Sus scrofa: one gene and its partners. The protein of the gene in region 1 interacts with the protein of each later gene in a pairwise test. Links are inferred from orthologs where the notes say so. Each region holds a gene or a part of one and is shown on either strand. Other genes may lie near its edges.

Region 1 (5,517 bases):
GGTCGGGCTCCCCACGCTGCCTGCCACCGTCACGGGGTGCCTGCAGCAAGGGCTGCGACCCGCTGCCACTCTGAGCTCTGGCCTCCATCAGGTCTTGGAAGTGTGGTCACTCCAGCAGGCTTAGAACACATCTGAATTCCTGTGGGAGCCAAGAGGAAAGAGAGGGTTTACACTCCGGGATACTTCCCACTCTCCACCCACCTGACTTAACTCTTCACTCCCCACTTCCCCTAGAGAAACAGCATTGGAATGGAGCAGCTGTCTAGGGCAGGTATTGGGATCGCCATCTGAACCCAAAAGAAAAAATATGGCCAGGTGCTGACAATTCTTTATTCTAATGATATGCAGTGACACAAAGCAGTGACCTTTGTTTCAATCATATAAGCAACTTACTCAGTTCAGGTTCCATGGAAAAATTGTGGCAAAGTAATGTTGGAATACAACATTGATACTGACATTTTCAAAAGCTGAATAACACCTTTTCAAATTCTGAAATAAGCTTACATTTAACATGGTCACTTCTGCCTTAAGCAGCAATAAACACAGCCAAGAAATTCTTGGTTCTTTTACATCAAACACCTAGAACTACGGTTTATCTAACTTTATAAAATGCCATAGGATGACTACGATATGCAAAAAAGTAAATACCCCTCCAAGGGATAGTTACACATTTTATACAATAATCAAGCACTATCATTAACTATAGAGTAACACAAAGTTTAGAACTAAAAACCTATCAATTCAAATCCTGCTAAGTGCCAGGAACACAATAAAGCAAATTTACATCATGAGCAACAAAAAGACAGGAACTTATTTTCAACTTCCCAACAACTTGTGACTCACATATTTTACAACCTGATAGATAGCCTAGGAGAACATCTTAAATTATGTAACTAAAAGACTGTTCTCCCTGTTTTAGATATGAATTATGTCCAAATCTCAACTGCTCTGCCCATTTCCAAAAACCTAGTGAGAACATAAACCGATTGGTGATAACAAGAAGTGTTCTAAAAACTCAAATGTCACGTCTCAGATCTATCATCCTGACAAGTAACCCCTTAAATGACCCTCCCTCTATAAATTTCAAAACTACCATCCTCTTTGCCAAGTCTGCAAAAGTGGACTTTCACCCAGTGTCTGCTTTTTAGAAAAAGAGACACAGGCAGGTGACACACACCTTCCACTTTGGAAAAAAAGCTGGCAACTGGATCTCAGTTCCAACAGAAAGGCAGACAAGACAGCGTTGCTCTTTGCTTTTACTCCGGCTACAGGCTCTATCTGCGCCCCAACACCGTCCCCAGCAGGTGGGTCACATTCGGAGCCCCGGGGCTAAGCTGCCCACCCCACCCCCCCGCGCCTCGGAAGGGGAGTGCCCTGAAATGCTAGGGCACGCTTCCCCCTCCTTTCCTCCGCTGCCAGAATCTCCCCCACCCCAGAGAACTGCCTGGCAGCTTTATGTGGGAGCCGCTCCACCCTCCGGCGGAGGTCACGCAGCCCATGGCAGGACGTTCCCTCCAAAGCCCTCGACCTTCGGGCACCGGTTTCCAGACCCGCACTGCGAGGTAGAAAGCCGTGCCTTGGACACACAGCCAGGATACCGAGGTCTAATCCTAGCACCACGGGCGACTCTACCTGCGCTGACCGAAGGGGCAGTGCCTGCAATCTGCAAATACCCATGTATTAAAAATATACACACATAGTCACATATGAATATGTTTCTTAGAGTCAAAGAAAAATTGCTTTAAAAAAGAAGACATTTTCCAGGAACCCACTGCACCCCCCCACCCCCGGGCATGCAAGACCCAGATCCCTAGGCTGGAAACTTTCCGCGCAGATTTGTTTGAGGGGGAAAGTAGCATCTTTGGGGATATTTACCAAACTGATTTTCCTGATCCCTGGCCTCCTTCACAGACCCCCGCCTCCCTCACCGCCCCCCGCTTTTGAAAGAGCTTTGAAACCCCCATTAAGAACAGTGTGTGATTAGATTTAGGATTAGGGAGAAAAGACTTCAGCACAAGGGTGGGGCGAGCCGACACAGTGACCGCTTTGTAAAAACGCACAAGATTCCAAATTAAAAAATAGCAGCAACAACAAAGTTGATCAACTCATCAAAGGAAAGGGGAAAAAAAATAGCTAGCCTCTTTTAATACCTCTTTTCAGGGAATGGAAAACGCTCGCGACTGTTTTAGGACTTTCTTCCTCTGCTGGGTCAGCCCAATCTTCCAAAAATAAAAAAAGCGTGACCCAGGCAGACCACGGCGAACGGAAAAAAGAGAGAGCTGCACTTCCGAACCGCAGAGACGCGGCGCCACGCTGGGCGACGCTCCCACCCGCCCTCTGCTCGCCTCTGTCCACACCGCGCAGAGAACCCCCTCCCAACCCGGCACCCTGTCCCTTTTTCACCCGCGGGGTCTCGCTGCCCCCGTGAGGCGAGCCCTCGGTCCCGCCGGCGTCCCTGCCCTGAGACAGCCTCTCCCAGGACTCGCTTTCCCCGAAGAGGAACAGGTTAGAAATGCGGGCGCCTGCAACAGCGACCTGGAAAACACAAAGTGCTTTCCCTCTCCCTCCCGCTCTCAGCGCCCAATTCGCGGCCAGTGCACCGCCCGGAGCCGACTCCCGGCGAGCAGTCGGCCACCCCAACCCCCCCAGGGCGCGGGCGCTTAGGGCGGTGGGTCCAGGGACCCCGTGCCAGCCGCGCACTGCAGCCCCCGCCGGGGCAGGCCGAGCCCCAGGCGAGCCAGATCAGCGGGCAGCTCCGGGGATCCCTGCGGGGAACCTGTGGAGTTAGAAAAAGGGAGGCCGGAGGAGAGACAGACCCCACTCCTGGTCCGGCTGCACCTACTCCATGTTGCCCACAATGCGCCGGCCACGGCGCCAGGAGGGGAAGAGCCAGCCAAACGCGCCTCACCGTGATCTCGGCTTTGCACCAACCCCTCTCCGTTGGATTCTCTTCTTCCTGCGATGTGCAAATAAATCCAGCCCCGATGCAAACTTTTTCCCCTTTCCTTCCAAACTCTGCTTCCGTCCAACTTCCGAGCAACCGGCGGGACAAGAAAAGGAGAGGAAATCCGGAGCCAAGTCCCCAGCCGATGAACACTGCGGGGTTCGGGGCTGGAGGCGACCCCCCTTCTGGAAGCGCACGCGGAGTATTTCCTCTTTTTTTCTCAATGAACTGGAGGCCGAAGCGCCAACGGCTTGTCTTTTCCTGGCAGATGAACGAATGAGAAAAGAGGCCTTACAGAGAACCTAAAGCCAGATGGTCAAGTCCTGCAGCCGCGTCCGCGTCGGAGCGGAGGCGGCGCGGGGACGCGGGGCGGCGGGCCGGGCCGGGCGGGCGCGGGGGCCTGGGCGCTGCGCGCTCCGCCGGCCCCTCTCCTCCGCTCGCGCTGCGGCGCGCAGCTCTCGGCAGTGCAGACTGGGCGTTGTGGAGGCGCGGCGGCGAGGCCGAGGCGGGGTGGTGGGTGCGAAGGAGGCGGAGGAGAAGGAGGAGGAGGAGGAGGCGGAGGGTCTGGGGCCTGACCGGGGGGGCTCGTTGTTGGCCTGCGCCCTAGCCTTTCCGGAGGAGGCAGGGAGCTCTGCGGCGGCCGCGGCAGCAGTAAATGGCGTCATGTGGATCCGAGGCGGAACAGAGCAGTTGTTGTCCCAGAGGATATATCGCATCCGGTCCCAGCTCATTGGCTCCGCGGGGCTACATTCACTCACACTCCAGCGCCCGCCAGCGCTCCGAGCCGCTGGAGGCATTCAAAAGGGCAACCACGCCGCCCCGCGCGTCCCCAGGCCGGTCCTACCGCCCCGGCGCCGTCACGCGGGGTGCCCGCGGGGCCGGGCTGGGCACGGCGGGGTCAGTTTATCTAGTTTCAAGGAAACACTGACCTTAAGGTTTCCCCAGAGGCCACGAGGACGAGCCGTGGCTCCCGCTGATTTGGGGAACTTTCTCCCCGCCACTAGGAAAAGGGAATGAACCTTAAAAACGAATCCGGGCCAGGCAGCGTTAGCATTAAAAACAGCAAGTTGCAGGTTTTGCGACTTTATGCGGAATCCATTGCAAGCCCACCTCTCCCCTTTTCTGTTCCCCCTCGAGGGGGCGACGGGGAGAGAAGAAGGGGGAGGGGAAGGGGAGAGGGAAGTGAGGTGGGAGGGCTATTGGTTTATTCTTTGTCTACTGGATTAACCCGATTATACACCAGGCACCAGCACAAACCGCCTCCCCCACCTCAGAGCCGCGTACGGGAGGAACGGAATGCAGATTCGTGTTTCAAGTACCTTCTGCTCTTGCCGGGATTTGCTTTTGATTACGTCGATTTGTAGTTTTTCGTTTAACATTAGACTTTATTTTTGAAGAGGGAGCGAGCTACGGATGGAGGCTTTTTTGAAGCTCTTCCTTACTGTTTTGTTTGACGCTATAGCCGAAGGAAATGCTACAATCTAGGCCTCTTTACAATTAGTTTATTCAGTCATACACACAGACGCGATTACTAAGGGCGACATCGCTGGCTTCTGAAATGGGAGGGGGGCCCGCTGTTTTACTGCATCTTTCCTCCTCCACTTAACCAAGAAGAGTCATCCTTCATTGCCAACTCTCCTTGTCACGTAGATCATTTCTCGAAGAAGATCCTATTGTCCTTTTTGAAGGTGGTCTGTACTTTCCTACTTAAAAAATAGATTATAATACAAAGAGAGAAAATGCATACATCAGCACTGTGCCGACTGCCGTTCATTTACTAAGAAAGGTTGCACGTGGGAGCACCAGTGGGGAGTTAACACCCCCCCTCCTCGACCCACTCCTACTACTGCCGTTCATTTACTAAGAAACGTTGCACGTGGGAGCATCAGTGGGGAGTTAACACCCCTCCCTCCCCGACCCACTCCTAATACTGGATTCTAATGATTTACAGAAAGGTTTTACTTTACAGGGAAGTACGGTCAAAGCTCCCGAAGAGCACCTGCGAGGGTTAGAGTTCTTGAAACACTGCTAGGAAAACGTGGTGCTAGATTCCCCGGGTCCGGCTCCATCCCACATCCGTTTACAGCTACCCTGGCACTCGCTGCCTTCTCCCAGGCTCTCGTTCTAGAACGTCCCGGCGCGTTCCCGGCCGCGCTATGCTCTCGGCCTGCCTTCTCCATGTTTCTCCAGCGCTCTCCCTCGTCAACCGGGGTTTGGAACCAGAGGTGGCAAGGGAAGTGGCACGCGTTATTTCCGGGCGCTGGCCTACGTCCCCCCCCCCCCGCCCCACGCCACCCCTCCGGCGAGGGTGGACAGGGCTACATCCGCCTGCTCAGCGGCGCCCGAGGGGGCTGCAGACACTGGACGACCCGACCCGGGCTCCCCAGCCCGGGCCGCTCTCCCAACACTGGAGTCTTTCGAGCCTCGGAGGAGCGCAGGCGCCGCTGCGCTCCCAGCCCGTCCGGCCACCAGGGGGCGCCCGCCCGGCGCGGGGCTGGAGCTGCTTTCTTCCCCAGGACTGGACGAGGGCCGGCGGAGTTGCTTTCCAAGATGTACCCAGGGCCGGCTGTTTC
Region 2 (5,478 bases), on another chromosome or scaffold:
GTGTGGACTTCCCTGGGGTCCTCTTTGGGTGACTATCAGAATGGCAGCCGAAGGTATAGGGAGGTGACCCTAAGAGGGGTGCTCCTGGGAGCAGGGTCAGGAGAGTCGGCGCCTTGGAGTAGCGGGTGCCAGAGGGAGCGTCACAGATCCCGGACGGGTCGGCGTGGCCTCCAGGGTGGTAGCTGGGAGACTGTCCAGACGCCTCATCACAAGGGCCAGCGGGGTCAGGCCAGCCCCCTGACCATCACGCTCTGTGCTGTTAGATGGTGGCCGACATGCGGGAGAAGCGCTACGTGCAGGAGGGCATTGGCAGCAGCTACCTGTTCCGGGTGGATCATGACACCATCATCGATGCCACGAAGTGTGGCAACCTGGCGAGGTTCATCAACCACTGCTGCACGGTGCGCGGGGGGCCGGGCCGGGCCGGGGTGGGGCGGGGGCCAGGGGCACAGCCGCAGCTCACCCCATCCTTGTCCTGCAGCCCAACTGCTATGCCAAGGTGATCACCATCGAGTCGCAGAAGAAGATCGTGATCTACTCCAAGCAGCCCATCGGTGTGGACGAGGAGATCACCTACGACTACAAGTTCCCGCTGGAGGACAACAAGATCCCGTGTCTGTGCGGCACCGAGAGCTGCCGCGGCTCCCTCAACTGAGGTGGGGCAGGACTGGTGCCCTCACCCCTATTTATTCCCCTTGGTGCCCTGAGCTCCCAGCCCACCCAGCCTTAGTGGGCTCAGCAGGGCCCACGTGCCCCATCTCCGAATGTGGGGTTGGGGGCCCCCCGAGCCCAGGAGGGAGCCTCAGTCCCTTGAGGCGACTTCTGCTTCCCCTCTTGCCCCTGCCCACCCATCCCCTGAATTTTTTTTCTTTGCGGAGAAGAAGCTGTAAATGTTTTGTAGCTGCCAGCAGCTGTTTCCTGTGGAAACCTGGGGTGCCGGCCTGTACAGATCCTGTTCTTGGGGGCTGCACAGCCCCCTTGCTTTGTGTTCATGGGGCTTCCCCTTTGTGCCCTGCGTGCACCCCTCCCCAGTTTAGGGGTCTCTAGGGGCAGTGGCCATGTTCTCCCCCTGGGGGGGGGCCCTGCGCCCCCAGTCCTGGGGACTCCGTGCCTGGAACCCTGCCTCATCTTCTGTTCCTGCCAGACCCTGTGGGTCACCCTCCCAGCCTGGTGTCTGGAAGCTCCGGCTTTGCCAGGCCGGGATGGTGGGGGGCGGGCCCTTCCTGTTGGGCTGGACTGTACATATGTTAATAGCGCAAACCCAACGCCACATTTTTATAATTGTGATTAAACTTTATTGTACAAAAGTGCTTGGTCAGTATCTTTGGGAAAGAGTAGGGTGGGATGGGGGCTGAGGACAGAGGGTGGGGCAAGTGAAGAGAGGGGGAAACAGGTGGCCTGAAGCTTGGGGTGGGGAGAGGGCCTTTCGGGCAAGAGCCAGGACCTGCAGACTCAGCCACCATCACTCTGGGCCACCTGCTAGGCTGGAACAGCCATCCAGAAATCCCCCGCCAAGGCCGGCCAGGGCAGGGCCAAGGTCAGGCCTCCCTTCCCTTCCCAGAACCACAGCTGCTGCTGGGCTTCTGGCCTCCTGGGAAATCCAGCAGGAGGGAAAGACTGACATCATGCCCTGGGAGCGAGGTCACCCTGCCTGCTCCCTTTACCTCGCCCACCCAGCAGGTTCCAGCTTCCCCATTCCCTTTCCTCAAGTTCTCTGCTGGAAGCAGATGCCAGTGCAGCGTGGAGTGGCCACCAGAGGGTGCCCTGTGGCAAGAGTAAGGTGGGCGGAGAGGTGGAGGCTGGGCTGGTCTCTGTTCCTGGAATGGGCCAGGAGGGAGGAGGAGCAAGCGGAAGGGGACTGTGTCACGGGCCCGCTGGCCTGGGGGACGAAGACGGCCTCCCGGTGGCCAGTTTGGGTGTCCTGGGACCTTGGCAGCAGGTAGGCAGCAGTGATGCCAGGGCCTGGGGTCCCTTCCCCCCATCCCGGCCCTTCCCACCTTCCTCTCCCTGCCGTCCCGGCTCCCTGCCAACTGCCTTTCCTTTTCTGTCTCGGGACCTCCTCCTCCGCCTCAAACCCTGAGCCCTCCCTGCACGCCAAGCCTTCCCCTCATCTTGGTAAGTGCGGCTGGCAGGGTTGGGACAGGTAACCTGGCTGCGGCTCCCACGGCTGCAGCCTCTGGAAACGGCTCTGGGCCCCGGGTCACTGTTGCTGTCCACTAAGCCAGAGGCCTCTTCTAGGAGTAACAGGTGGGCTGTAGGTGCCGGGGCAGGTGGCAGCAGGCAACCCAGGTGAGCCAGGGTGTCTTTCCCCAGCAGGGCATGGCAGATTCTGCTCAGGCCCAGAAGCTGGTGTACCTGGTCACAGGTGGCTGTGGCTTCCTGGGGGAACATGTGGTCCGCATGCTGCTGCAGCAGGAACCCCGGCTCTGTGAGCTGCGCGTCTTCGACCTACACCTGGGCCCCTGGCTGGAGGAACTGGAGACAGGTGACTGTGGTGGGGACAGAGTGGGGACGGGGGGAGAGGATGTGGACTTCCTTCCTTGGGGTGGAAAAGATGATGTCTCCTATGTTTTCCAGTGTGGACGGATGGGATGAATGAGTCACATTGGGAATATGTGGCTTCCAAGGGTGTGGGCCAAACCCAGCAGCTGGCCTGTGGCCTCAGCTCTGACATTGCCTCTGGCTGCTCCTACCCATCCCCAGGGCCCGTGCAGGTGACTGCCATCCAGGGGGACGTGACCCAGGCCCATGAGGTGGCAGCGGCTGTGGCCGGAGCCCACGTGGTCATCCACACAGCTGGGCTGGTGGATGTGTTCGGGAGAGCCAGTCCGGAGACCATCCATGAGGTCAACGTGCAGGGTGAGCGGCTCTCCACCTACTCTGATCACACACGCAATCCTCCCTGGCGCATGGCCTGAACTTGGCTGTTTGTTCCCTGCCCCCTCTTTGACCTTGACCTCTGTAATTCTCCTGTGACAATCTGTCCTGTGGACACTCCTGCCCATCATGGCGGGCTGGCCCTCACTGACCTGCCGTGGTTCGCCCTGGGCCTGGAGCTGGAAGACTCGGGTCCTCCTCCAGCTTTGGGATGGGGAGCGGAAAGATGCAGAGGGGGAGGAAGCTTTGGTTTAGACGTCCCCCCCTACCCCAGGCACACAGAATGTGATCGAGGCTTGTGTGCAGAATGGAACACGCTTCCTGGTCTACACAAGCAGCATGGAAGTTGTGGGGCCCAACATCAAGGGCCAGCCCTTCTACAGGTGAGCTGAGGTTCCCCTCAGTCCTTCAAGGCCCCCCTCTCTCCCCAGCATTAAGAATTTTCCCTCTCCCCCCACTAGGGGCAATGAGAATACCCCATACGAGGCAGCACACAGACATCCGTATCCTCGCAGCAAGGCCCTGGCTGAGCGGCTGGTCCTCGAAGCCAACGGAAGGAAGGTAAGACAGCGGATGAGATGTGGGAGCCAGAGCGGGGGTGGAAAGAGCTGCCGGGCAGAGGCAGAGCCAGGGCCTGCAGGCGCCTTTGCATCCTGCCCTGGGCACCTCCCCTCCATCTCCAGCTTTTGGAGGCCAGGGCAGAGGGCAGGCCCTAGGGGCGGGGTGTCCTAGGTCTTAGCAGTGCCTGCCTTTTGCCCCCAGGTCCGCGGGGGGCTGCCCCTAGTGACGTGTGCCCTGCGTCCCACTGGCATCTATGGTGAAGGCCACCAGATCATGAAGGACTTCTACCACCAGGGCCTGCGCCTGGGGGGTCGGCTCTTACGGGCCATCCCGGCCTCTGTGGAGCATGGCCGGGTCTACGTGGGTGAGGCTGGGCTAGGCGGCGGGGGGAGGCTAACAGGGCTCTGGGATCCACGTGGTTCTGGGGTCGGGGATGGTTGTGTACTCTGGCTAAGAGAGGACGGTCTATACCTGGGCCAGAGCAGACAAGGGCCATGCAAGGCGAGAAGGACGGCCTCAAAACGTGTCACAGGCTGAGTGAGGAAAGGGTTGGAGTTATGGGAGCAGCATCGTTCCAGGACCATCAGCAGAAAAAATAGCCTCCATTCAGGCTGGCCCTCAAGGGCAAACGGCTACAGGGCCTGGAGGGAAGCAGCCTTCAGCACAGCTGTTGCTATGAGGGCAGCATCCACAAGGGCCCAAAGAGGGGGCAGCTTGGCCAGCACTGGCCGGGGAGAGACCAGCATGGACCTGGTCACAAGGGCACTGAGGGCCACTTCCCCCCCTTCTCCCCTCGGCCCTGTCCCCGCAGGTAACGTGGCCTGGATGCACGTGCTGGTGGCCCGGGAGCTAGAGCACCGAGCGCCACTGATGGGTGGCCAGGTGTACTTCTGCTATGACAACTCACCCTACAAGAGCTACGAGGACTTCAACATGGAGTTCTTGGGCCCCTGCGGACTGCGGCTGGTGGGCAGCCGCCCGCTGCTGCCTTACTGGCTGTTGCTGTTTCTGGCCACCCTCAATGCCCTGCTGCAGTGGCTGCTGCGGCCGCTGCTGCTCTATGCGCCCCTGCTCAACCCCTACACGCTGGCCGTGGCCAACACCACCTTCACTGTCAGCACAGACAAGGCTCTACGCCACTTTGGCTATGAGCCCCTGTTCTCCTGGGAGGAGAGCCGGGCCCGCACTATCCGCTGGGTGCAGGCCGGGGAAGACTCCACCCAATGACAGTAGGGCTGGGGCCCGGAGCCTGGCGTGGCCCAGCCATCCGGGTCCAGGGCCCTCAGATCCTGGGTGGGGACGCATTCTAGAGCTGCAGGAGGGGCCTGGTGCCAGACTGCCCATCCTAGAGCTCTCATTTTAATCCACAAGCCTTGGGTCTGTGTCCTGATGTCTAGTTCTCAGGCAGGTGTGTCTTCTTCACTCTCAACCCAGGCCTGATGTCTCACTTTTCGATTTTTTTTTTTTTTTTCTTCTTTTTTGGCTGCCCAGCAGCATGCGGATTTCCCAGGCCAGAGATCAGATCCAAGCCGCAGTCGTGACCTAAGCCACAGCTGCAGCAATGCCAGATCGGATCCCTAACCCACTGTGCCTGGCTGGGGATCGAACCTGTATCCCAGCGCTCCCAAGAGGGTGCCAATCCTGTTGCACCACAGCGGGAGCTCCCGGTTTCTGACTTTTCAAGCAGGAAGTGGGTAGACGTTCCACAGGCCTCGTGCTGATGTCCAGGCGTGATCCTCAGGTTTGGATTCAGAGTGAAGATACTTTCTGGCTCCTCCCACCACCTTAGTTCTGCCTTGGGGGTTACAGACCCATCATTTTAAACCATTTATTACCTTTATGCATTTCTTTTTTAATTCTCTTCCCTAAAGGCTGAGGAAATCTGTGTATTTTCACAGCTTCCCACCCCTCTAACCCATATCAGTTCCTGAAATATTGTTAGACCCCTGCCTGACGACGCCCCAGCAATGCTGTACCTGGCTAAGCCCTGGAATAAAACGAATTCTCCAAGCCTGGGTCCATCTGCCTGTCCAGCTCCCC
Region 3 (5,696 bases), on another chromosome or scaffold:
ACTCCCGAGTGAGCCTTCTAAGAGCTACGTAACATTCCGTCATCCGCATATGTAACATTTCACCCATCCACATGCCTTTGATGGGCCTGGAAATAGTTTTCTTTTTAAAAACTATCAGAGCACCGTGATCAAGATTTTGCACGTGTCTTTTTAGGCCCTTTGCATTTCTCCAGGGAATGAACTTGGATGCAAACCGCTGGGCAGCGGGGCACACATTTGCTGGGTGGATAGTCACCCCCAGATGGCGACTGGGAAAGTAAGAGCCCCCCATCTTCACCTTGAGGCTGCCCTTGTGGTTAACAGCATCCGAATCTGCACTCCCTGCTCAGGAGTGGGGTTGGGTCCGCTCTAGCAGAGTCCAGGGCACCCACTCTCTCCCTGTTCCTGGCAGGGCTGCTGGGCTTTCTGGCTGACTCACTGCTACCAGGACCAACCCCAGCCCTGGAAGCACTGTGGGTTTTTTTAGGGCTGTACCCATGGCACATGGGGAAGTTCCCAGGCTAGGGGTCGAATCGGAGCTGCAGCTTCTGGCCTACCCCACAGCCACAGCCATGGGTTCTGAGCCGCATCTGTAACCTACACCACAGCTCACAGCAATGCCAGATCCTTAACCCACTGAGCAAGGCCAGGGATGGAACCCACGTCCTCATGGATGCTAGTTGGGTTCTTCACCCCCAGAACAGCAACGGAAATCCTGGGTTTGGTTTTTAGTTCAAGTTTGGCAACTGACCTTGGAGCTCGCCTAGGCTGGATGGTCCTGGGTGCCCCCCCTTGTCCGTACCAGGGTTGAATGTTTGCCCTTGGCCTAGAGTTTCTGGAGGGGGTGGGAGTCCCCACTGAAGACTCGCTGGGCACACAGGGACCCAGTGCCAGTGACGACCATCCTGCTCTGGGGCGGGGACCCCAGCCTGGCGGGACCTGGGTTTTTTGCGTGTTTTTCGTCACAGCTCTTCTGGGTTAGAGCGTGAGGGGACTTCCCCTTGGGGCAGGACAGTGGCGTCACGGCCCACGCGGGCAGGGCTGGGTTTCAGGGAGGGGGTGCCCTCTTGGAGGCCCAGGGCAGAAATCCCAGGCTGGTAGCAGGGGGCAGCTGGCAGGGTCGCAGACCTGGCGGTGGCAGAGCCACTTGGACCCTAGCCTAGGGCTCCCCTGCCCGAAGCAGCAGGCTCCCTCAAGGTGCCACATGTGGGGACTTAAGGGACATACGCCCGGCCCCCGCAAGGCCCGTCCCCATCAGAGGCAGAGATAGTGGTGACTCGGGGTCATCGTATCAGCGACATGGCTCTTCCTCATTTGGTCAGCAACCCCCCCCCCCCGCCCCCCGCCAGCGCATTCGGTTACGGAAGGCTTCAGACATTCTCTCTCTTTTGCTGTCCATTCAAACACGGGTTCTTTCCTCCTTCCGCTCTGCCCCGGCCGCCCAGAGGGTCCACTGCGCAGAGACCTCACCGCCCTGCCGGTGCCCCACTCACCAGTCTGATGCCTCCTCCACCGTCTTCCTCCCCGTAGCTGCCAGTGCCTTGAGCCTGTGGGGGCAGGACGCAAGGAGCCCTCAGAACCTGCCTTTTGCTCCTGGGGGGAGGGTCAGAGCAACGGGGTGTCTGTGCAGGACATGGGACCTTCAGCCCCCCGATCCCCGCTGGGGGCTGGTGGGCGAGACCTCTCCTCGGGGAGCAGCACCCAGGCCTCTGGCCTCTGGTGGCATCGCTGTGAGTTTGGAAATGTGGACGCTCACATCTGGCCCCTGCCCCCCTGCTTCCCTGGCCCCCACCTTCGTCCATGGAACAGAGAGCAAGGGCTCATGTCCTGAGTCCACCCATGCCTGAATCCCACCTCCCTGACCCAACCCCTCCCCACAGCCAGGTGGCCCTCCTCTCGGACCCTTGAGTTCGCGTGGGGAATACATTAGAACCTGCCTTAGGCAACCTTAGGCAGCCATCAGGGCCGTGTCCCTGGCTGGCACACATGCCTACTGGCCAAGAAGCCGTCTGGCATCAACACACCCTGAGGGAGGTGGCTCTCTGGTGTCCCTCTTCCAGAAAGCCCAGCCCAAATGCCCAGGTAGGGGGGCCGTGCAGCCCCTCTGTGTCTCCTCGCTGCCCGTGAGGTCGCCAGGCCCCCATCTCAATGGACCGCCCTCCGATCCGTCTGCCAGCTCCCCGGGCCCGAGTCTTACTTGTCATTGAACCAGGACACGTGCACATTGGATGGAGCTTAACCGAAGGGGACTAGATTGGGCCCAGTGGAGTTTGGTGGAGGCATTCAGCCTGGAAATTGCTGGAGCTGATCAGGAACCCACTTTGCTGGATGCCTGAAGGGGGAGGCCCCTGGAGAGCTCATTGGAAGCTTTACCTGGTGCTCCAGCCTAAGGGTCACATTTAAAACATGCTTCTCCACCCAGCACACGGCTGATGTTTAAATTGGAAGGGGCTTGGGGTGTGCTTTCAACGGCAGCTTTGGCCACATGGCAAAGTGTGGGCTCTAGAGGTGAGGAGAGGGGGTTTCAGCCCCCCTTTTGCACCCCCTGCCCCCTCCAGCCTCGGGGTCCCCCTCCGCACCCTGCCCATGCCTGGTTTCCTTTCGAGCTCACAGCCCCCCACTCAGTGTGAGCAGAACGTGAGGACAGAGCCCCAGTGCGAGTTAGGGAGCAAAGGGGTCCAGCCTCAGGCACTCCAGCAGCTGGGTCACAGGGGTTCGTTAACCTGTTTAAGGCGCGTTTGCCCCCCTCCCAAGTGCAAGGTCACATCAGGAGGCCTCCGACGTAGTTCCCAGACGAATGAGCATGTGAAAAGGACCTGATCTAAGGAACTGGTTCCCCGTGGAAGCTGTGACCGGGTGTTGGTCTGAAAGCTCATAGTTTGGGGATGCCCCTCTGTCTCCGAAGGGTAACTCGTGAGGTTGAGGGGTCTCTGGGTGCACCTTCTCCTTGGATAAGTGGGTCGTGTCCACCTGCTCGGGGAGGTCCTTGACCCTTTTTTACATCATCAGACATCCGGGAGCTTCCCCTCAAAGACAAGGGCTCTCCCTTCGCACCGAGAGAAGCACATTCTGGCGGATTTCAAGAGGCCCACCCGACTTTGGGGCTTTCGAATTCGAGTCTGCAAGGCCATCTCAGGCTCGCTGAGCTGACCACCGAGGGGGGCAGCCAGGCCCCAAGTCCCCCCACACCCTGGCTCCCATTTCCCAGATGTCACGGGGCCCCCATCACCAGCCAGAAGAGTTTGTCTTTAAAAAGCGAAGGTCGTGTCCTTCATAAAAGCAGAACGGGCCTCACTTGGAGCAGGTCTCTGGCCCTGTGCGGTTCACCCCTCGCACAGGAAGTAAGTGCTCTGAGCCACCTGCAATTTTGCAGCCGTAGAGGGGTCGGCGGGGGGTCAGGGACCCTGGCCAGGCGGGGGGTACTCACGCGGTGTGGGCCGGGAAGCCCATGTCCAGGAGGGGCTCCAGGAGCGCGGAGGAGCTGCGGCCCTTGAGCTTGCTGGTAACCTTGGCGTAGAGCTGTGTCTCCCCCGCTGCCATCTCTTCCTGCCCGCAGACTGAGCGAAGCAGATAAAGCCGGAGAGGGAGAGGCAGGGAGCCTGAGGCTGAGAAGAGAAACCTCAAGCCCTTTGTGATCTGTCTGACAAAAGCTAATATCCTGTTTGCACGAGATACCCGTTTGCAGAACTCTCTTTGCAGAGTGTGGGTGTGGCGCCCCTTCCACATTGGGCTTTGGGGTCCGTCGGACTCCCCGCCTGGGATCAGCCGCCGCTGAGACTTGGGCTGCCCTTGGGAGCCAGTTGGCCTGAGAGGGGGTGGGGGGGACAAGGGGGAGGGGAAGCGGGGGTGGGGTTCTGAACCCCGAGGCACCTAGATCTTGGCCTCCTTAACCTGCATGGGACATTAGACTCCGCTGTATCTACTGTCCCTGCTAGCTCTGAAATGCGGGACCCTTTCAGCTATTCATTGACTTTTTAAACATTTCGAATACTTTTAAAGTTGGATGTGTGTGCAGAAAAGCTGACGAATCCTACATGCACGGCTCAGGGCATTTGCACGAAGCAGGCACGGACACCTCATCCTTCAATAAAGCAGGTCTTCCACCGGGGGAATTTTAGCCCCTTTCCCCAGGGACCACTGGCTCTGTCTGGAGACATATTTGGTGTCACAATGGATGGAGGGGGCGCTCGCCATCAGGTTGAGGCCAGGAAGGCTGCAGGGCTCATGACAGTGAAGAAGGGTCCATCCCAAGGTGTCAGCAGGGCCAAGGCTGAGAAGCTGTACCCCAGAACACCACCATCCTCAGAAGCCCCCGGCCCCCGGGATCCCCGCCGCCTGCGCAGGCTTCTAGCTGTCTCCTCCTTCCCCTGAAAGTAGCTGCTGGGTTTACTTGTGTGTTAATTTTGTCCCCACGTTGAAACTGACATAAACAGAACCATAGAACAAGCACTCTCCCAGGTCTGGTTCCTTCTGCCCAAAACTATGTGGGTGGAATTTACCCACATAACGGCCCGCAGTGGTGGTTCACTGCATGGATGTGTGTTATTCCATCAGATACGTGTACCCCATCTTATTTCTCCGCTTCTCTGAGGATGTGCACTTCTGGGGTTGTCAGTTGTTTGGATGCTGAGACACTCTTGTTTATGCCTGGGGGCCTGAGGTGTGCCTTTCTGCTGGGGACCCATTGAGGAGTGGGTAGCTGTGTCCTAGGACACGTGCCCGCTTCATGAGCAACTGCCGGGTGACTCTGCAAAGCCGTTGTCCCAGCAGCGGATGGGGCTCCTGCTGTTCTGCCTCCTGGCCCACCCTGGCTTCTGAGTTTCAGCCCTTCTGAGGGTGTGGCGAGGTGTGTCATTGTGGCTCTAATTTGCATTTCCCCGAATGGCAGTGGCACGGAGCACCACGAGTCGGGCTCCGGCCCTTGAATATCCTCCTTGGGGAAGGGTCTGCTCAGGCCATCTGTCATTTTTAGATGGTTTGTATGGGTTTTCTTATCCATTTCTGGCAACTCTGGAGGGGAGTCTTTTGTTGGGTTCCTTTCAAGGTAATAACTTCTTACAGGCTGTGGTTTGCTTTTTAAATCTCTTAGTGATGACTTTGAGTGAAACAAAAGTGCTTAATTTGAATAAAAATGAATTTATCTTTTTTTTTATGGTTAGAACTTTCGACATCCTGTGTAAGAAATCACTGTTAGACCCACAGATGCAGAGAACAGGCTTGTGGCCACCAAGGTGGGGGGAGGAGGCAGGGGAGGGTGAGACTGGGAGTTTGGGATTAGCAGCCGCAGGCTATTCTGCAGGGAATGGAAAAATAACAGGTCCTATTGTATAGTCCAGGGAACTCTATTCAATATCCTGCCATAAATCAAAAGGGAAAAGACAAAAAAAGACACCACTGCTAATTCCACTTTGATGGAGATGGCTGTCTCTGGAGTTTTACCGTATTTACTGTTTGTGTTGAGCAATACGGCCCATTGGAATGAGTTCTTTCTATGGCGGGAGGTAGGGGTAAAAGATCGTTTATTTCTCTGTACCTTTGCTCATTGAAAAGACCGTCCTTTACCCCGTGGATGGCAGTAGAGTGTATTACACATCCGCTGACTGTATATGTATCAGTCTGTCTCTGACTCTATTATGCTGCCTTCTTTGATTGGTCCATTTCTGTGTCCACATGATGCTGTTATAATGACTAGCGTGCTAAGCCCTCTGATTTGTCTT

What was found.
Region 2: the proteins of SPRY2 (region 1) and HSD3B7 interact in binary tests that used the Homo sapiens proteins (3 or more experiments, as listed by UniProt). The two-hybrid records come from large-scale screens. The link is inferred for Sus scrofa from reciprocal best matches to the Homo sapiens genes SPRY2 and HSD3B7.
Region 3: the proteins of SPRY2 (region 1) and UBASH3A interact in binary tests that used the Homo sapiens proteins (3 or more experiments, as listed by UniProt). The two-hybrid records come from large-scale screens. The link is inferred for Sus scrofa from reciprocal best matches to the Homo sapiens genes SPRY2 and UBASH3A.

What each region holds. Positions count from the first base shown.
Region 1 is NC_010453.5:52,155,353-52,160,869, forward strand, and holds the start of SPRY2 (protein sprouty homolog 2), read right to left. Parts: upstream 3,415-5,517; 5' UTR 2,909-3,414; intron 140-2,908; 5' UTR 89-139; coding exon 1-88.
Region 2 is NC_010445.4:17,459,597-17,465,074, reverse strand, and holds HSD3B7 (3 beta-hydroxysteroid dehydrogenase type 7), read left to right. Parts: upstream 1-1,693; 5' UTR 1,694-1,822; coding exon 1,823-1,939; intron 1,940-1,971; exon of another isoform or gene 1,972-2,115; intron 2,116-2,313; coding exon 2,314-2,485; intron 2,486-2,703; coding exon 2,704-2,859; intron 2,860-3,151; coding exon 3,152-3,260; intron 3,261-3,338; coding exon 3,339-3,438; intron 3,439-3,639; coding exon 3,640-3,802; intron 3,803-4,249; coding exon 4,250-4,665; 3' UTR 4,666-5,448; downstream 5,449-5,478. UniProt on the Homo sapiens protein: The 3-beta-HSD enzymatic system plays a crucial role in the biosynthesis of all classes of hormonal steroids. HSD VII is active against four 7-alpha-hydroxylated sterols. Does not metabolize several different C(19/21) steroids as substrates.
Region 3 is NC_010455.5:205,742,484-205,748,179, reverse strand, and holds the start of UBASH3A (ubiquitin-associated and SH3 domain-containing protein A), read right to left. Parts: upstream 3,786-5,696; 5' UTR 3,706-3,785; coding exon 3,407-3,705; intron 1,527-3,406; coding exon 1,473-1,526; intron 1-1,472. UniProt on the Homo sapiens protein: Interferes with CBL-mediated down-regulation and degradation of receptor-type tyrosine kinases. Promotes accumulation of activated target receptors, such as T-cell receptors, EGFR and PDGFRB, on the cell surface.